Linked DNA regions of Cricetulus griseus. The protein of the gene in region 1 interacts with the protein of each later gene in a pairwise test. Links are inferred from orthologs where the notes say so. Each region holds a gene or a part of one and is shown in the gene's direction. Other genes may lie near its edges.

Region 1 (4,756 bases):
AGGCTATGAGACTCGGTTTGTGCACACACCTATTCATATATTTGTTCAACATGCCTGAATGATGCATACCAGCAACACATGATGCTCACAAACAGCGCATGGCCTTTGGCAAGAGCCACATTATCTCCTCAAAATGAACACAGTGGCCAGGGATGGTTTAAAGCAGCTTTCTGGCAATTTTCCCTGTAAATCAGGGTGATCCTAGAACTGCCTGTCTGGGGAGTAGGAGCTTAGCTCCCCTCTTGGATAGGGGAAAGAAGGACGCTAGGGCTCCTAAGGTGTCCCTTCTGTGGGTCTTGTCCTTGTAAAGCTTCTTGGCTGGATGGGCTGAGACTTTCAGTCTGTGTCTCCAAGGGGTTGTGTTTGGATGGAGAGTTGAGATTACTTGGGCTCTACCACACTGGACCTTGGAGGACATTCAGTCTCTCTCTCTCTCTCTCTCTCTCTCTCTCTCTCTGTCTCTCTCTGTCTCTCTCTCTCTCTCTGTGTGTGTGTGTGTGTGTATGTATGTATGTATGTATGTGTACTGTGGGTCCAAAATCTACACCTTCTAGCCCACAATCTCCTTGAACAAGTTCCTCCCCGGGACCCAGAAACTCCCTCAGTGTCACAAGTCTAGGTCTTGGGACTTGGCATAGACAGGGGTAGGAACTTGTGAACTAAGATGCATCACACTTAAATTGCCCAGTCCAGGGGCTGGAAGCCTGGACTGTGGTGGGAGTCAATGCATGGCTGGTATTGCCAATACAATGTCCCTGGGCCTCCATCTCTTCTGCAGTTAATTGCAGTAAATGTGGTGCCATTCATGGGGTTGTTCTGAGGACTATTCAAGGAATATTCAAAGACTCAGGTAGGTGCCCAATACTTGCATGGGAAACCACTGGCTCCACAAATTTCATGCTGAAAGTTGTTTAATACCAGAGTCTATCAAAAATGCAGTGTCCTTGTGGGCCGGAGGGATGCTAACAGCAAACCCCGGTAGAAAAATTGAGGCAGAGAGAAAGTCCTGAAAACTTGCCTGAGCAGGGAGAACCCAGGAAGGCAGGGGGGAGGAGGAAGTGGGTTTTGATCCAACTCAGCCTTATTTAGAGAAAGGAGAGGTGTAACCACCACTGAAGGTTCCTCAGGCTGAGTGCTCCAGCGAAGTGCCCACCCACGTGTGCCCTCCACGGTCCAGGGCCGGTACTGAGTTCACCCTGATTGACAGGTGCGGAAGCTGGGCACAGGTGCTCAGAAGTCCCTGGAACCGAGCCCAAGCTGGATGTGTACAAGAGGGACCTGGGGCACACCGGGAGGGCCAGATGCCAGCTCTGGCACAAGCTGGGAGAGACGGTCACTGCGGGAAAGCAAGCCTGGGCCAGGTAGGGGCACAGTCGGCGCAGCCTGTGGCTTGAGATGGAAGGAGAGCGCCCGAGTGCTGGGCTGGACGCGGTTGCCGAGGGGTGGTTACGATCAAGCTCGACGACCTTCTCGTCTTTGCAGGGCGGTCCAGGGGTGCAGATAGGGAAACTGAGGCTGCAAAGCAGTGCAAGGGAGCTCCACAGCGAGCTGTCAGTTTCTTAAGACCTCGCTCGTTCTGTTCACCGCTGCATAGTCCGCCTGTTCATAGCCTCGGGGGCGGGGCGCGCCACGCCTACGCCCACTCCAGGCGGGGCTTCCCGTTGCCGCGGGGCCGTTGATTTCAGGGCGGAACGTTCGCACGGGGAGTGCGCGCGCGCGGGGGAAGGCATTGAGGGAGCGCTGCGGGTTCGGCTCGGCAGGCTCCGCGTGGTGCGCGCGCAGCGCCATCCGGCGCACCGCCCGGCGGCTCCACCCAGCCTGAGGGGCGCGGCCCGGGTAGGAGGCGGCAAGAGCGCGAGCGACACTGGCGACTCCGCTGCGCGGCAGGTGAGGCGGCGGGTCGGGGCCGAGTGCCAGCACCCCGTGTCTCCCCAGCCCTCAGGACCCGCCCTAAGTTCCCGGGACCCCAGTTCCCTCAGATGTCCTGGTGACCCCTACCTCTGGCATCCCCTGGGACTGCCTGGGTCCGCGGCCACCTGTGGACTGGACCACCTTTTAGTCCCGGGAACCCCCCAAACCCTCCAGTTTTTCCCCATACTCAGCACACAGAGGACCTCGGTGTCTTCAAGGCCTGAGCCCCTGCCGTCTTCTGCTCCAGAAGTCCAACAGAATCCCCTCTGGTTCCGCTCCAAAACCTCGAGTCTCCCCGGCCGGTGAACTCCCAACCTTTCTTGGGTGGAGGCCTTCAGAGCCACCTCTCCCCAATGTCCTTCCTTCCTGGGATCTCCTGCCTCCTGCTTTCTAACTTGAGGTTCACAGAGCCCTGCAGCCTCTACTAGAGTGTTCTTGAGGTTTGTGATTTGTTAGCAGGAATAAAAGTACAAACATTCGACAGGTCAGCGGAGGGCCACGTATAACCAAAGAGGAGGTGGGACGTGGGGCTCCGTATGTGCGTTGTGCTCACTGTGGGACCGCATTTTAACTCGTGAGACCCATATGGTAGAGAGACATCGCTGGGAGTGAAGGAGTTGAGCAGACAAGGCTCTTTTAGGTCGTGTTCTCAATGCGTGGTAGTTTTTATTACCATACACAGCCCACCAAAACCAGCCCAAGAGAGCAAGGCTTGATTACAGTGGCCTAGTTGCTAGGAAGATGGCAGCTTGAAGGGCCATCCTTCTGGGATCTTGCTTTAGGGGTGGCTTGCATAGGAAATGCAAGTCAGTAGCTGTTTTTCCCGAGGTGAAAGTTTGGAGCCGAATGGTACACATCCTTTTCAGTCCTGGAAATCTCTAGAACAAAGATTATCATTTCCTCAGGCTATTGTCATTGATCAACAGTTCTGGACTTTACTACACAGTCTGGTGCCCTGAAGCACTGCTACCAAAAAGAACACACTTGACCTGATGATTGTGAAAGACAAGGGTCAGACATTGTCAAAGAGGGAGTGGGTGCCCTATGTGGTCCAGTGTGCTTAGTGCTGGAGACAGAATTTCTTAGGTGACATTTTATCTGTTTGCTCACAGCATAGTCACTTTAGTGTCTCTCACCAGGGTGATTCTTATAGGTCAGCTGGGGAGTCTTGAAGGCAATGGAAAGGTGCTGAAGGCGACACATTTGGATGTGTCAGCACCATCCTCTGTGTGACCAGAGGGGCTGAAGCTGCAAGCCAGAGTCGTGGAAAGAGTGGATTTAGAGATCATGAAGAATAGATGAAGCCTAGACTTGGGAGATGCAGAGGGAACTGGAGATAGCCCGGTACAGGAAGGTTTTCTGTGGCCACCACAGCACTCTGTGGTAGAGTATTCAGACACCAGCCACACATGGCTGACAGTCACTTAGAGTATGCCTACAGTGACAAGACTGGATTTTAATGGATTAAATCTAGGGGTCATGTGAAGCATGCTCTGTAAGTTACTCTAGTGTTATCCTGTGGAAGCCTCTGGCTACCTGGGAGGTACACACTCTTCCTTTTTCATGTGTCACGGAGCAGACTCAAGAGGGTTGTGTAGGCTGTCGGCAGCACGGCACATCTGTTTTTGGTCGGAGCTTTTTGTGTACCTTTCCTTTCCCCACAGCCTTCCGCCTGGAGCCTTCCGCTTGGAAAAGTGGCCACACCTCTTCTCCTTTAGCTCTCCTTATCAGTTCTGCTAAGGTTACTTCAGGCAGCTGTGTGACAATGCTGTTTATGCTGGCTGGCTGTGTGTTTCTGTCTGTCTGTTCATCCCTCCCAGCTTCCCTGATACCATGTTTCTGGGGAATGACAGAGGGTCAGCAGGCTAAACAGAGCAGTCAACCTGGGGGCCCAGGTGTGGAAGTGAATGTGACAGGGAGACTTGGGGCTGCAGGGGTACAGGCAGTGCCTGCTGTAGTCAGAGAGTCTGGAATGCCAACCAGGAGTGAGTTATTGCTGTCCCCAGTGCTTGGGGAGACCTTGACCAAATTACTAGAGGCTTAGCTTTCACCTCAGAAAAATGAGGGCATTTGGCATTATGTAAACCTTAAGATCCTCCCAGCTCTGAAATTCTATGATTTTAAGTTGCCCTAAAGAATATCTCTTCTGCATCTTCTGGGGTTGGGCGGTCATTTGGGCCCAGTTGGGGGCTTTTACCATTACTGACTTATTAAATGAATGTAAATACCTGTGTTATGGTATGTGTCACCTCTGACGGGTAGACTCAAGCAGTGAGTGCTGTGGATGGCAGATTCCTGGGAAGACATCCCATGTATTGTTTGCATCCCAGCACACTGGTGTAGAATGGGGGTCAGACTGCAGCGTGGTAGTCGCCTCTAGAATGGACTCAGTGTGAATCGTGCAGGTGAGGGCTGCTGGCTCTTCATTTTAGAGGCTGGAATGAGACCATGCATGCAAAGTGCTTCCTGTTTTTCCCTAAAAGCAGCAATAATAATTATTATTATTATTATTATTTTTGGACAAGCTCTCTCATGCCCAGGCTGGCTTTAAACTTAGTATATAGCTAAGAATGACTACCGAACTTCTAATCCATCTGCCTCTATCTCTAAAATTCTGGGGGCCACAGGTGTGTGCCAGCAAGTCTGGATAATGCTGTCCATAGAAGGAACTATTATATTAAGTGTTTTGGTACTGGTAGGATTTTGCCTTTTTGGGTTTTTTGAGACAGGGTTTCTCTGTATAGCTTTGGAGCGTATCCTGGCACTCTCTCTGTAGACCAGACTGGCCTCGAACTCACAGAGATCCACCTGCCTCCGCCTCCCGAGTGCTGGGATTAAAGGCAGT
Region 2 (5,077 bases), on another chromosome or scaffold:
CCAGACTTCTAAGCCAGGACCCAGGCACTCTGCATTCAGCGGGTCACGGCTGTGCCCTTCCTAATAAGGCTTTGAGCTCAGTTTGGGACTGGCGTGCAGGGGACAGGACCTACTTCTTGGACACCATGTCTCAGCTTTCTGGATGGTGGAATCTTACATCCACCACACTTTTGTATCTGGGGTGGAGGGGGCGGTGCTTCGGATGTGGTATTAGGTAGGCTGACCTTGAAGTTCCTGCACTCCCCCTGCTTCCAATTCCCAAGTGATGAGATTACAGGTGCTCACCCTGCCCAGTCTGCTATATTCTTAGTTATTTTAGTTCATTTGATTTAAGACAGGTTCTTGGGTAGCTCAGACTGGTCTCCAATTCATGATTCCCTTGACTCTCAGCCACCACCCCCCCAATCCACCTATTCTTTGATTCTTAGGCTTTTTCCTGTTAGCCAACTTCTCATAACTTCTGTGTACAATAAATTGCCTGGTTTTCTGACTGAACCCATCTTGATACACAGAATGACAAGTTGCCTACTTAGTTTAGGGATCTTCTCTTAACCTTCTGCTCAAGGAACATAAATGGCTGGTGGTGGAGATCAATCTAGGCCATCAGTAGTCATCTAGTGGCTCCTGCTGGCACTGCTGAGAAAACCCATCTTCAAGGGTATTGGATTACCCATGTAGTAACTCAACTAACCATGGCAGCCATAATTGCATGGGAATAACACTTGCATTCTCACAGGTTTTTTTGTTTTTCTTTAGGATAGGAGTGCTGGTTAGATTTTTGTAAACTTAACACAAGCTAGAGTCATCTTGAAAAAGGGACTGTAATTGAAAAATTGGTTTCATCCAATTGGCCTATAGGAAGGGGGAGGGGAGGAAGTTTCTCCCTCCAGAGTGCTGAGAATAAAGGCCCCAGCTACCTTGAACTCCGGATCCTCCCGCCTCAGCTTTTTCTGTTGTTTTAATTTTTCCTTGGCTTTTGGCTTTGTTTTTAAGATGGTTTCTCTGTACAGCCCTGGCTATCCTGGAACTCACTCTGTAGACCAGGTTGGACTTGAACTCAAGAGACCCTCATGTCTTTGACTCTGGAATGCTGGGATTGAAGGTGTGTGCCACCACAACCAACTCTGCCTCAGTTTTTCAAGTGCTGGGATTACAGGCGTGTACCTATATGCCTAGTGTCTTAAAAGAAATGGATTTCTTTTATTTTTCCTAATGTTTTTCAGGATAAGGTCTCATGAATTCCATGAAGGCCTTGAACTCTGCAGCCCAGGGTCCTGAACCAGGAACCCTTCTTTTCTGAGCCTCTCTCTAGTAGCTGGAACAACAGGCCTGCAGCCCTAGGCTAGCCCACTCTAGTGTAGCAAGGAATGCCGGGATCCATCCTTTCTAGGAGTCTTGATCTTGCATTCCCAGTGAAGAGCGCAGTTTCACGTCCTAAGATCTCATGTGACAACTTCGGGCAAGTCTCAAAACAGTCCAGTCCCTCCGGCCCCTCCGGAGGGCCAGTGACTAAGCTTCAAAGAGGCGGGGCCTAATAATATATTGAGACTAGAAAGAGGCGGGAACTAAGTGGAGGCCAGCCCAGGGGGCGGGGCCAGGCTGTAATTCAGCCGAAAGGGACGGGAACTAAGCAGAGCCTCCCTCAGGGGCGGAGCCTTGCCATAGCTGAACCCGGAAGGGGCGGGGAGTAGGCGGAGCCCAGTCCTAGGGCGGGGCCTAACAGTAGGCTGGGTCGGCTTGAAAGTGGGGCTTCCAGGAACGCTCTCCGGAAGCGCCGCATTGCTGCCCCGGGAGAGGCGTTCCAGTCGTAGTCGCTGCCGCCGCCTTCCCAGCCTGTGCCGCGTCAGTCATGCCGGTAAGTGGCCTTGCCGCTCCACCCGTGCGAACCGTTTTCTCCGGCCCGATGCACCGCTGCCCGACCAGACGCTGCTATTAGGGCGCGTGCCATGGCCGGAGCTGCAGTCATGCTTTAGTTTACTCTCCCTCCGCACTCGCCCTCCAGCTTCGCGACCCTCGGGAAACCTGTAGAGAGAACTGTATTGCAGAATATAGGCCTCAAGATCGCTCTAGAGAGTCAAGGAGCAGCCCCAATCTTCCCTGCACGATGGAGAAACTGAAACCGGGAGGTAGGGCAGAGAACCCGCATCGGGACGCCGGTACCTGCCCTTTCCAGGTGCATGCCCCTGCCGCCGAGCTAGTAGGTTTTCAAAGAAGTAGGTCTCTCCACCTCCCCTGCCCACACTGGCCTGCTTCCACTTCAGCCCTGGGCAACCCTGAACCGAAAGGATACTTTCCTCCTTTCCAGCCAGGAGTTCCCAAAGCTCGGAGCAGAGTTTCCAGAGCCAAGAGCAGCGCTTACCTTGCCTTTGAAATCACCCACTCCTGTGCATGGTGGTTTCTAGCCTCATAGCCTCATTGCTTATTAATAAAGGCCTTTGGAACATTACACAAGATAAGAAAAAGCCCAGTGTTTGTTGGAGAGTATTTATTGGGCGCTAGTTGGGCGCTAGGTAGATAGGATCCAGGATGAAGCCAGATCACCTGGGAAGTGCTGGGCAAAACCAGTTGTACTGCTTGCCTTTGAGCTCTGATCTGTGTTGAGTTCCTGAGATAATGGTTAGGGCCTTGGAGTCGGGAGCATTTTTCTCCTGGTGCCTCTGAACCCAGTGGGCATATTTTAGCGGGCTTATCGTCTGTGAGTGAACCAGAGGCTCCCACCTGATGCAGACTTAAACATCTCAGGTGGCACTTGTGGTTCTTACCCTTTGTCTTGAGAGACTTTTCCTCAGATCGCACAAAGCACAAACAAAAGACTTGATAAAGTCCATCCTACCAGTCAAGCCAGTCTGTCCTGCAGTGTGAGGCTCATTCATAACCCTGGGATCCCAGAGTCAAGGCTGCCAGGCTCTCCTGGGGAGAGCAGTGAAGAAAATAACTTGCAGACCCCTCTATTCTGTGTCTGCCTCTGGGGACTTTCATTGGAGTGAGGCATATAGTAGACACCTTAGCTCAAGACCAACAACTAAAGGTATCTTTCAAGTGCCGCCTCCAGTCTAGCCAGGGGAATGAGTTTTACCAAAGGTGGTTTGCATGCCAAAGCTTAACCCAGTCTATGCCCTATGGCTTGCCAGCTGGGCAACTTCAGGCAAGATGTTCTGTCTCTCTGTGTGTGCCTTCCATCTCCTCATCCATAAAATAGGGATTGGAAACTGACCTTGCAGGGCTGTGTTTGGTATTAACTAGAATGATGTCATCAAAATATCTAACACAACTAGTGACCCATCCGGTCCCCAAGGAGTGGTGTACCTCCTGTGTAGATGTAGGACAGGCTTCCACCCCATTTTAACGTGGACCTCAGTGGTTAAAAGTTAGAGTTTTGTGTACTCTGTCCAACCCAGGCCCTGTTACTCATGAGCTGCATCTCCCTGAGTCAGTACCCAACCTCCAAGCTTCAGCTTTCTCATCTCTTGGGAATAGGAAGAGTTTCCTGGCTTATGGAAGCATTGTAGCTATCAAACAAGACAGTGTACAAGGTGTTTAGAAGAAGGCCTGGCACATCAGAGATAATTAGATATTAGTAATCAGGAATCCAGACACCAGTGTCCAAAGACACAATGTTCTCTAGAAGAACTTCTCCTCTTCCATTCCCACTGTTCCAGTTCTAGAGGGTCTGTTAAAGAATTGTACCACTTACCGGCTCTCTGAAGTAATACTGTATGTAATAATACATAATACATAATACAGCGTGTTGCCGTAGAACATTAATATATACGTCAGAGGATCCATTTTGCTTGTTTTCTGTTACAGCATCTCACACTGTAACTCAGGTTGGCCTATAAGTGAATATGTAGCCCAACTGATCCTTGTAGCAATCCTCCTACGTAGGCCTCCCAAGTGTTAATTTGGGGCCTGTGTATGCTCTGCCATTCTTCCATGACCCTTTTGTAAGAGGCACTGGGGAGACATCCAGGGATGGAGCAGGTCTTGAGATAGTCCTGTGAAGACTGGATCACCCTATCCATTAGGCAGAACTTTCTGTCATCCTCAGGTGTAAACTGCAGAGTTTGTAGGCAGAGGTGTAGGGAGTTCTGAGTTGGAGTGGAGTGTTGGCCTCCTGTGAGCTGCCCACCCCCCCACCTCTGTACTGTGAAAGACTTCCTTGTTAGGGTCTTCAGTTTGGAGCTCAGATAACTGTTGACTTTAGATCCCTGAGCAGCAATTACTTATCTTCTGAAACCCCCTTCAGAGATTCTTCTCAGAGTCAGTTTGTGGAGGATGGGCTGTTATAAAACCAACAAGATTTCCCTGGAGCAAAGAAAGCCTCTCTAGGGCTCCTGCCTTTGCACCCATGGCCTCATCACCTTAGTGACCTCCCAGCAAGAGGAAATGAATAGTTCTGTTTTCAAGCTAGGAAAATACTGCAGAAAGGAGTTTGAGGGTGGTAGGATGGGTCAGCTGATAAGGATATTTGTAGCAAGCCTGATAGCCTCTGACATCCACACTTACTCAATGGCACACACTCACACATGCAAATAAGTGGATAAGTATAGTATACTTATTATCTTTTAGGTTTATTTGTGTGAGCGAGAGTGCATGCGCACCATTTATGTGCAGAGATAGAAGAGCTTCAGATTCCCTGGAGTTGGAGATACAGGTGGTTGTAGTTCAGGGAACCAAACTCAGAACTTCTGGGAAAGTACAAGTAGTCTTAACTACTGAGCTGTCTCTCTAGCCCTATTTATTATTTGAAATGAAATATTTTTTATTATTTATTTAAAAATTAGTTGTTTTGTTATTGGGGGGGTGGGGAGATTGAGACAGGGTTTCTCTGTGTAGCCCTGGTTGTCCTGGAACTCACTCTGTAGACCTCTGGCCTCGAACTCAGAGGTCCGCCTGCCTCTGCCTCCTGAGTACTGGGATTGAAGGCATGCACCTGGCTTTTATTTGCTTGCTTGTTTAGGTTTTTCCGGGCAGGGTTTTTCTGTAGCTTTGGAGACTGTTATGGAGCTCGCTCAGTAGACCAGGCTGGCCTCGAACTCACAAAGATCTAACTGTCTCTGCCTCCCGAGTGCTAGGA
Region 3 (4,958 bases), about 350 Mb from region 1:
CTCTGTGTGTTTCTTGTGGATATCCCCACTCCTGCCTCATGTTTAACCATCAAAGTATTATTTCCACTTCTGAATGTCTAAGCACTGACCCTGTTACCTGATTATGTTCTGTCCTGACTGCTGACCTATCAGCACCTGAGGTCAGAGACTGACTCGTCACCTTGATTTCAGTACACTGTCACACTCAACAAAGTGCATTGATTATTATATCAAATTAAAAAGAGCAAATGTGAAACCCACCGATACAGTGTTTAGTAGGGACAGGTTAAGACTTGGACACAAAACAGTAGAGAATTTTATGCTGGAACAGAAATAAGCCCGTGGTCAAAGAATGGATGCTTGGTTCTGACCTAAATTCTTAAGTATTTAAGTGTGTTCTTGTGCAATTGAGAAAGCAGGCCCAGGCCCAGACTCAGGGAATCCCAAAGGGGCATTAGTGCCATGGTATAAAACCACCTGTGGCTCTAGTGGTTCCCCAGTCACACCAGTTCACCATTCTCTTCCTCCAGGGTGACTTTGGCAGCTCAACTTGACCTTCTGTGTTTGTTGCTTTTCATGCTTTGACTAAATACTCAGGAGAAGCTTTTTATTTCAGCTCACATTTTGACAGTGCAGACCACCATGGTGGGGAAAGTATGGCAGGAAGAGCGTCTCTATGCTGTGGCAGTGGGAGCATGTGGCCACACTCCCAGAGATGTCTCCTTGGCAATTCCGAAGCCAGTGAAGCTGACGATGAAGATTAGCCATAATGCTTGTCTGTCTAATCTAGAAAGTCTCCAATTTCCCCTTCCCAGACAGAGCCTGCAGTCTGATTTCTGGGGTCAAGCCATGGTATGTGTTAAGCTGTGATGTGGGATATCGGCTTGTTTTCAAGGGAGAAATCTAGGTAGAAAAGTGGGCAATGAACATCAAGTATGGAAAGGTTTGAACCCGTTTGGAAAGGGTTGGGGGAGAAGCCATTCTGTAGAACAACAACGGAGACAATGGCTTGGAGATAGGATATAGGATATAGGTGACTTTGGTTGGTGTGAGAATCTACCCAGCCAGAACAAGGTCTCCAGCTGGTGTGGGGAAGGTGACATCTTCTTTGAACGTTCTCTGGGAAGGAGGGTGGAGGAATCAGTCCTTCCTCTCAGGAGTAACCCTGTCCACGACTCCCTATAGCTATTCACTCAATGGCTGGCTGGCTGGCTGGCTGGCTGGCTGGCTGGCTGGCTGGCTGGCTGGGAGAGGGTGTCGCTACACAGCCCTGGACTAGCCTGGAGTTCACAGAGATCTGCCTGCCTCTGCCTCCCTAGTGCTGGAATTAAGACATGCTCCCTCCCTCCCTCCACCACCAGCAGCATCTAGCCTTGAGTGCTGTTTGTGATAGTGGGCTGAAGCTGAATATAGGCTGTTAGGAACCCTATAGAGTTCAGAGACAAGTGAAGCTCAGATGACTGCGGGAGGACTAGGAAACCATTCAAACCACAAGGGTTTTGTTTTTTTCTTTCTGCTTCAGGGAGAAGCTGGAGTTACTCCCATTCTACAGCCTAGGAATCTGAGGCCGCCTTCTTAAGAAAGATCCAGACGGTCCCCTGGGGCGGCTGCTCAGTAAGTCCTCGGCCCTAGGGGAGGCTGCGAGCTCCACCGGACTTCCCACTTCCCGGAAAGGCTGGAGAGAAGAGTGTGTGTCCTGGGACGGGGGAGTCCCTTTCCCCGCCCCTCCCCGCCCCGTGGCCACGGCGTGGCTGAGCCCGGGGCGGAGCTGGCGTCTGCTCGCGGACGAGCGGCGGGACGGCGGCCGCAGCCCGGGGCAGGCAGGCGGACAGGCGCGGAGACCGGCCCGGCGGGATCACCCGCAGGAGGACGAGCCAGCCCGCTGCGGTGTGGCCGCACCGACAGAGACCCGGAGCTGTCCACCTAGGCGGAGCGCGTGAGTGAGAGCCGCGTCTCCGCGCCCCTCGCGGCCCGGTCTTGCTTCCACTTTCAGTTCTTCTTGGTCCTCGCTTGCCAACTTCTGGAAGCGACCCGAGCCCGAAAGCAGGCTGGCCACAGTCCTCAGCCCCGGGTCCAAGGCTCAGCGCCCGAACGCCGGGGTGGGGGGTGGCGGTGGCGGTGGCTGGTGAGGGGGCGTGTCTTCAGGAGCGGAAACGTCAGGCGGGCTCCTCTGGGTCCTAGGACCTGTTTGGCCCTAACTGCTGGAGATAAAGGGAGGTTCTTAGGAGCTCAAAGGAGGGGAGGGGGCGGGTCTGGCTGGACAGTAGCTGTGTCTTACACTCCTACTTTTATATTAGATCTTGTCCTGCAGGGCATACCTGGCTAGATTCTGAGTTCAGACTGGGGCGGTTTCTGAGCCAGGCCTGGGAGGGGCAGGTGTGTCCCTGGCAGGGGGCTAGATATTAGAAACAGGCTGGGTCGGTCAACCTTTGCTCTTCATCTGGGAAGATTAGATGCTCAGTCATGGAGTGAGCAAACTACTGGCCACTCACCCAGTAATTAAAGTGGAGGGTCCACTGGGAGAGAGGGCCCAGAGGCTCTGGAAGAAACAGTCTCAGTGATGGCATGAGGCTGGGGAGAGAACAGCGGTAAGAGACATAGCTAGAAGGGGACCTGCCCTCTTAGCTTACCTCCTGTACTCCAAGTTTACTCTTTCTAGGAAAAGTCCTGGGCCTTAAGTTCTACAGCAAGGAGGTGGGGCCTCTCTACTCCCTTCCTCTCCTCTTATCTACACCAGGCCAGTGGCCAGACAGCAGGAAAAGGGTCCTTTGTACCTTATTAGAGGCTAAGTCCCTCTCTATCCCAACCACCTACTTCTTATAACTTTCTATGCAAAGTTGGGCTCCTCAAATCCTGATTCTGGGCTTCAGTTTCCCCATCTGCTCATGTAGGTTAGGCCACTTGATTTTTCAGAGCTGTTTCAACTTGAAGACTTGTATTCCTATATGTCTGGTATTGTGGGTAAGTGAAGGTGGGCATGCAGGTATGGAGGCTGACATCAGTTATCTTACTCACTCTCCACTTCATTTATTGAGGCAAGGTCTATTTTTAAAAAATAATTACATTTATTTATGTGTACGCACACACACACACACACACACACACACACACGTATGTACCACAATGTACATGTTATAGTTAGAGACAGTTGGTGGGAGTTCTCTCCTTCTACCATGAGGGTCCCTCAGGCCAGTAAGTTTACCCATTGAGACATCTCACCAGCCCAAGGCAAGGTGTTTCTGAACCTGGGGCTTGCAGGGGTTCCCTGCCTCTACCTCCTAAGTTCTAGGGTTACAGAAGGCTGCCAGGTCTTGTCAGGTTTTTCATAGGTTCTGGAGATCAAAACTGGTCCTCATGCTTGCACTACAAGCTCTTTACCCACTGAACCATCTCCCCAGCCAACTCTAAGACTCTTGAGTCTAAGCTTTCCCTAAAGCCCGGCCACCAATGTTATGCCAGTCTGACTTTATCTAGAGGGCTTAGGGACAGAAATGGCAGAGTGGTCACCATACAAGGTTGAGATCTGGAGGAGGGTGCTGAAGGAGGTAGCATTCAGTAGGATGGAATGAGAAATCAGGAATCTAGCAGCAAAAGACACACATGCAGGAGAGAGTAAGGGCATGCTCAGGGATCAAGGAGAAGCCCAGGGTGGCTGCTGGTGGGAGGTGGAGTGGGGAAGTTAGGGTGTGGAGTTGAAAAGTAAGAGTCTATAACAGTCAGTAATGGTTGGCCATATCAAGGTGGAGGACCCAGAAACCCCACTGATTGCATGAGTGGTTTTGGAAATCCTGCCCCAGGCAGAGCTTACAAGGGAGACAGCAACTGAAGTATACAGAGCTCTTCATTCAGGAAGTTCAGGCCCCAGCCTGGCATTTCTTTGAGAAGAAGCTGGGGGGTGGGCAGAATAAATGAGAGAAACTTCCATACGTTCAAGCTTCTCTCAAGTGGTCAGGAACTCTCTCTGCCCTCTAAACTACTCTCCTTTTTCCTGATTGATCCATTCTGCTTGCCTGCTGTGATGAGAAGGAAAAACTGTTCCAAACATTTCTGTAAGTTTGATTTGTTGCCAGAAGTAACATCTCTCTGTACTCTATGCCTTTGGTTACCTAACCAACCTAACCCCCACCCTCTCTATCCTGGTCCTGCCACAGCAGTTAACAAAAATGTGAGAAAGGAAATTGCTTCAAAGTCAAGCCAGTCTGAGGTGAAGGATAAGCTTTGTCTGCCACTGTCTCAGGCCTCATTCAGTGTGGAGCTAGACTCGGGGTTTAGACAAACCAAGGTTGAGAACAAGTCAGAGTCAGCATGGAGCCCGAGCTCAGTGCTTAGCTTATACAGCCTAGCGGTCAGGGTCTGTGCTCCGTTTATTCCAGTCTTGGCAGTAGCCTGGATCTGTATTCCCCAGTAGTCATATACATTGGTGGGAGAGATGAAATGCCGAAGATGCTCAGAAACCTGACTAAATCAGAGTGTTCAAAGATTTACAAGGACTAAATCCGTGGTGATGTAAGCAAGCCAGTTTTGAATCAGGGGCTGGATCCCAGGACTTTGGGGGCTCTGATTGATGCCCCCTGAAGTCTGTTCTGAGTCTGGCAGCCTTCTGTTCTAAGAGGCAAAGCAAACATCCAGAAGGACCAGCAGGATGGATCTGGCTGCTCCCCCTGCCCCAGGGTAACAGGTGCATAGTAGGCATGCTGGCAATCATGTGGAGTGCCAGGTGTATTCAGTGGCTTATTCAGGTTTGGGGCTGAAGGAGGTTGGCTTAGAGGAAAGGAGCATTAGCATTTGTCGGAGGAAGTAGCACTCTTCTAGACCTGCCACCCTCCCCTTCCTGTAATGCCTGCAGCCACACTTCAGGCCACCCAGATGGCTATGTGAGGGCCCTTTCCTCTTTCAGTGTAAAGAAAAAGGAAAGGACATTTTTGGCAGAAAAGTCCCTTCTGCTCCCTGGGAATCCCCCACGGCCGGATGGACTTAGG
Region 4 (4,983 bases), on another chromosome or scaffold:
GTGTTACAGGATTTTGATCTGTTTAGCCAATGGCTTTTGGGGCAGCAAGCATGGTCTTGTCCGCCTTCAATCCCAGCACTCTGGAGGCAGAGGCAGGCAGATCTCTGTGAGTTTGAGGCCAGCCTAGTCTACAGAGTGGATTCCAGGACAGCCTCCAAAGCCACAGAGAAACCCTGTCTCGAAAAACCAACACAAACAAACAAACAAAAGCCCCCAAAACAACAACAAACAAAACAACAAAAACTGAACCTGCTGCCAGAGTGATTATTTCTGGGTAGCATTTGCTCAGGGATTTGAAATTTGGCAACAGCACATAACAGGAACCCGGAGGAAGCCAAATTTGTTATTTGTGTGTGTGCTCGTGATTCACTCATTGCTGCTAGTACACATGGGTATGGAACCATCTACTAGATTATGGGTCATATGACTTCTCAGAGCCATATTCTTGAAGAAAGTTGACCACCCCCTCACTTCCAGAAGCCATCAATTGCCAGTAACTTCCCAGCTATGTTTAAATTGGAGCCCACCTATTTTTTGGGGGGGCATTAATACTGAATAACCTTCCAGGAACCTGGACTTAAGCACCACCAACGGGTGCAAGATAAAATGGGTAGTTTAACAGGAACAGAGGCCTCTGGGCTCCAGATTTCCCAAGGGCAGGAAGGGGGAAAGTCACTCAAAGGGCTCTTTCATCAAAGTAGCCAAGAAAGTTCTGGAAAAGGAGAGGCACCTAAGAGGGTAGATCTCAGGCCCAGTCAAGGCATAACCTGCTCCAATGGATACTAAAAACTCTGCCCAGTGAGCTTCAGAATTGTGATCGACCAAAGATCCTGTCATGTGTGGGTCCCTCCCCCGAGTCACATGTTAGGTTTTGAGTAAGCTGTTACATAAATGGACATGCTTGTGCCTTTCCACATTGTCAGCACTGTGCAGAAGGGCTTGATGACAGGTGGGTTTTTGTTTTTTTGACAGGTGTGTTCTGTGGTACCTTAGCATTAGGTACAACTTTCTCTTTAGGGCCCAGACAAAGGGCTTGCATTATTTATTGGTGTTTGATAAGCTCAGGATTTTGATTCACCCCTGATTTAACTTATTTAGTTTGTAGGTGGTGATTTAATTTGCACAAGTGATTTTTATCAGTCTCTGCTCTGCATTAGAGTTGGTGAGTGTTTACTTGCACAAGTAAAATGAAGAGTCACTCTGTCTGAGGGAAAAATGGAGCTTTATAAAATGGACTCGCTCGGGGATCCGCACAGCGTTAAGACGGCAATTCTACACAGCATTAGTGACTGATTTTGCTGCGAGTCACAGACTAGGATGTGATGGGGGTCGATAAACCATCTTTTTAGGAGCTGCCTCGGGGGCCCACATCCAACCAGTAAGATAGCACCGCATTCTGGGCCTTTTAGAGCCACTGGGACGGGACGAGTCTTTTGTGGACCTGGGGAGGCACACCATTAAACACGTTTAGACAGGGGGGATCGAGGCGACTTTGTCGTACACGAAGAGGGTGCGTAGCACAGTTCCAGCGGCCTTGCCTGAATTGAGACAGACTGGGCCTGGCCATCCAGCACTGACGCCATTCGGCAGCTTTTTACCGGCACCCTCTGGGTACCAGGCTCCGTCCAAGAGGAAGCCCTAGAACTTAGAAGCACCGAACCTGACGGACCAGAAAGCCAGTCAATAGGAAAGGTGCATGGGGAGGACCCAGCTCTGGAGCAGCAGCACCCTCGGGTACTCAGAAACAAAGGCGACCACTCCCTGTGCGCATGCTCCAAGCCGGCTCGCCCATGGCGCGGCGCTGAGTGACGTCACTGGCGGGCGCCAGCAGGGAGGGCGCGGTGCGTCGCACGTGTGCGGAGGCCGCGGGCGGGCCCATGGCGAGCTCCGCGGGGCTGGCGCTGTGCGGCCAAACGCTCGTGGTGCGGGGCGGCAGCAGGTTCCTGGCCATCTCCACTACAAGCAGGTAAGAGGCCCGGGCCGGTGGCGGGGCCTCACCGCGGGGCCTCACCGCCGCTGTCCCGAATGAGGCCTCCTCCTCCTCCTCCCTGTTCCCCGACCTCGGAGTCCCCACGACCTGCACGGCGGGTCTGGGGCGCACGCTCCGTTGGGGTGGAGTCCGGGCACTTCCGGACTTTGCGGCGCCTGCGCGTCGTGGGGAGGGCCGAGTCACGTGCGTGTCGCGGAGGCCAGACTTGGGGTCTGGGTGCTCCAGACTGACCTGCCCGGAACCTCACTGGTGAGCCTGGTGTATTGCGAACTCTGCTGGCTCTCACCGAGCACAGGCGTGCTTCCCGCCCCTTGTCTGTGTCCAGCAACCCGGCTCTAGCTGCTGTGCGGGGTTTTTAGGTTTATACCCCGACACCTCCCAGTCCCAGGATGCACGCAGAGCCTGAAGCGGGCATCTCCCTCTTAGTCCTTCCCAATAGTGGTTTTGCTTTACGTTATTCCCGTAGTGGTGGGTCAAGGGATGCTTGACTCAAGTGAATGGTGGAGCAAGTAGTGACCCAGGAACCGAAGGACTTAGTGGCAGTCCGTTTTGGCTTCTTTTCCTTTTCCCATTTAGTTTCCGTACTCTGACATTTGAAGATTAGGAATGTTCCTCAGTTTGTGTCGTCGAGGGACTGCTATTGGCCAGCAAGGTTTCAGACTTGGAAAATGACTTTTCTTTCTGCAGCTCAGTGTTTAATTGGAAAAGTCTTTGGTGCGGCTGTCAATAGTACAAGGTGCTTTAAACCGGGCCAGAGCACCCAAGGGAGCTTAGGTTCTAATAGGGAGAGTGGGCGATTCCTATATGAGTAGGTGCCTGAGGCTTGTGGGGGCTTTCTCCCCAGCAGGTGAGACATGCTTCTGAACCATGTAAGGACAGCCTCGACTGTTTTAAATTTGCGAGCAGAGCTCAGTTGAAAATAACATCAGAACATGGGCTGGAGAGATGCCTCAGTGGTTAAGAGCACTGATTACTCTTCCAGAGGTCCCGAGTTCAATTCCCAGCAACCACAAGGTGGCTCACAGCCATCTATAATGAGATCTGGTGCCCTCTTCTGATGTGCAGGCATATATGGGGGCAGATTGTTGTGTACATAATAAATAAATCTTAAAAAAAATAACATCAGAATATAATCTCTTAGAATCAACAGTTTGGTGCCTGGAAGAGTCCACTGATTCCAGGTGTGCCCCACTGTGCCAGGTGGAACTGATTTAGAACAGAAACATGCTGGCTGTTCATGATACAGCCTATTAGGGGGTTAAGCAGATGACAATTCTTGGCTCTTCTGTCCTGGAGAAGGCCCCAATTCAATGATGATGAAATGTCCTAGAGTGACAAGAAGCAGTTCTGTGTGTTGATAAGCTCTCATTCTGGTTTCTTCCCTATAGTGACGATGACTGCGTCTTCACATACGACTGCAGTGCTGCGGAGAAAAAGTCAGTGCCAGGAGATAAAGGGTGAGATGGTGGGGAATCGTGCTCACTTGTGGTTTGAATGGTGAGACCAGTAAGCCGAGGCAGGAATTTCTAGTTGTGGGGCGAGGCTAAGTTCCATCTCAGAAAGAAACATGGAAATAATTTTAAGGGCCTTCCCAAATACTTTTAGTGTCCTTAGTAACCATTTTTTGTCACTGGTCCCTTAAATTAATAAGGAGCATATCAAATGCATTGAGAGCAGGTGTGGGGAATTAACTAATTGAAAGGGACACAGCAGTGTGTGATTGTTTTGAGTGGTAGCTTGGTCTTGTGACTCAGTTTGTTAGCGATATTATTGGTCCCTGCTTCTAGCCTTGGATTAGTCCATATCTAGGAGGGTTAGGCCATGTGATTGCTGAGAGTGCTTCCAGCGCACACTGGATGTTAGTGTGTTTGCAGAGGGCTCCTGTTGGTTTAGGTTTCACGCTTGTAAAATCAGAGCTGTTCTCTGAACTTCCCCTTAAGTTTCGTCACTATGCTTTGGCTACATGACCTGCTTGACCAAGCGTCTTCTGCCTTCCCTGTGTTAGAATGGACAAGCTTGGCAACTCAGGTGAGGCCTAACTGTTTTCCTTTCTTCCTCTGCCCTTCTTCAGGGAGGACGGACAGCCCATCGACAAGGGGAGTGACACGATTCTGGCGTCCACCTTCTCCAAGTCTGGCAGCTATTTTGCTTTAACTGATGACAGTAAGCGTCTGATTCTTTTCCGTACAAAACCATGGCAATGTCTGAGTGTCAGGTATGAAATGCTAACATTGAGTCATTAAGATGTCCTATGCACTCCTTGTCCTTGCATGTCATACATCAGCAGTGGTGACAGGGACCATTGTAATAGCAGCTAACATGAAGTGCCAGCTATGTGTGAGACACTGATTTCAGAGCTGTACATGCACTAACTGACTGAATCCTAATAGCACGGGAGGGTGGCCTGGCCCTGCTCCTCCACATGGGGTGGCGTAGGGTTAAGTAGCCGTTTCAGGACATGGAGCTGGGAAAGGCAGAGCCAGGCTGTGTAGCTGCTCCTCTGGCTGCAGTGTCAGTACCCTGTATGCCATATGTCTTCCTGCATTCCCCGTTGCTGTGGCCTCATATACCTGACAGGATTAGGACTGTTAGCTCACACTCAAGATGCCAGGGCTTTGGATAAGTGGCAGTGGCTGTTGCACATTTGTAAGCTAGGTGGTGGGCTACATCCTTTTGTGTCTGAGGAGAAGATAAAAGACGAGGTAGGTGTAGGGTGAGACAACTGGGCAGGACTGCAGGTGGGTATTCTAGTCATTTCTCCCAATAGGTACATAAATACGCTGCATCACTTACTCTTCCTCTCAAACTGTAACTGTCATTTCTGAAGGCAAGGTTCAGGGAGAGAAATGGGCCTGTGGTTATGGGGGAAGTTACGGTGGTGATGTTGAGGAGGCGGCTGTGAATCTGTGTTTCTGGAGATGCTGTTTTTCTCAGTGCCACCTTGTCCTCGAGAGTGGAGGTGGGTGTCACTGTGGACAGGATTGCATTTTGTT

Evidence for each region. The genes of interacting proteins can lie anywhere in the genome.
Region 2: the proteins of Fam118a (region 1) and Atox1 interact in binary tests that used the Homo sapiens proteins (3 or more experiments, as listed by UniProt). The two-hybrid records come from large-scale screens. The link is inferred for Cricetulus griseus from reciprocal best matches to the Homo sapiens genes FAM118A and ATOX1.
Region 3: the proteins of Fam118a (region 1) and Mob3c interact in binary tests that used the Homo sapiens proteins (3 or more experiments, as listed by UniProt). The link is inferred for Cricetulus griseus from reciprocal best matches to the Homo sapiens genes FAM118A and MOB3C.
Region 4: the proteins of Fam118a (region 1) and Wdr4 interact in binary tests that used the Homo sapiens proteins (3 or more experiments, as listed by UniProt). The two-hybrid records come from large-scale screens. The link is inferred for Cricetulus griseus from reciprocal best matches to the Homo sapiens genes FAM118A and WDR4.

Annotation. Positions count from the first base shown.
Region 1 is NC_048595.1:381,878,422-381,883,177, forward strand, and holds the start of Fam118a (protein FAM118A), read left to right. Parts: upstream 1-1,751; 5' UTR 1,752-1,887; intron 1,888-4,756.
Region 2 is NC_048600.1:69,641,636-69,646,712, reverse strand, and holds the start of Atox1 (copper transport protein ATOX1), read left to right. Parts: upstream 1-1,901; 5' UTR 1,902-2,104; coding exon 2,105-2,173; intron 2,174-5,077. UniProt on the Homo sapiens protein: Binds and deliver cytosolic copper to the copper ATPase proteins. May be important in cellular antioxidant defense.
Region 3 is NC_048595.1:36,509,680-36,514,637, reverse strand, and holds the start of Mob3c (MOB kinase activator 3C), read left to right. Parts: upstream 1-1,782; 5' UTR 1,783-1,915; intron 1,916-4,958. UniProt on the Homo sapiens protein: May regulate the activity of kinases.
Region 4 is NW_023276806.1:259,843,207-259,848,189, reverse strand, and holds the start of Wdr4 (tRNA (guanine-N(7)-)-methyltransferase non-catalytic subunit WDR4), read left to right. Parts: upstream 1-1,807; 5' UTR 1,808-1,877; coding exon 1,878-1,966; intron 1,967-2,127; exon of another isoform or gene 2,128-2,239; intron 2,240-2,467; exon of another isoform or gene 2,468-2,658; coding exon of another isoform or gene 2,659-2,726; intron 2,727-3,378; coding exon 3,379-3,447; intron 3,448-4,061; coding exon 4,062-4,205; intron 4,206-4,983. UniProt on the Homo sapiens protein: Non-catalytic component of the METTL1-WDR4 methyltransferase complex required for the formation of N(7)-methylguanine in a subset of RNA species, such as tRNAs, mRNAs and microRNAs (miRNAs).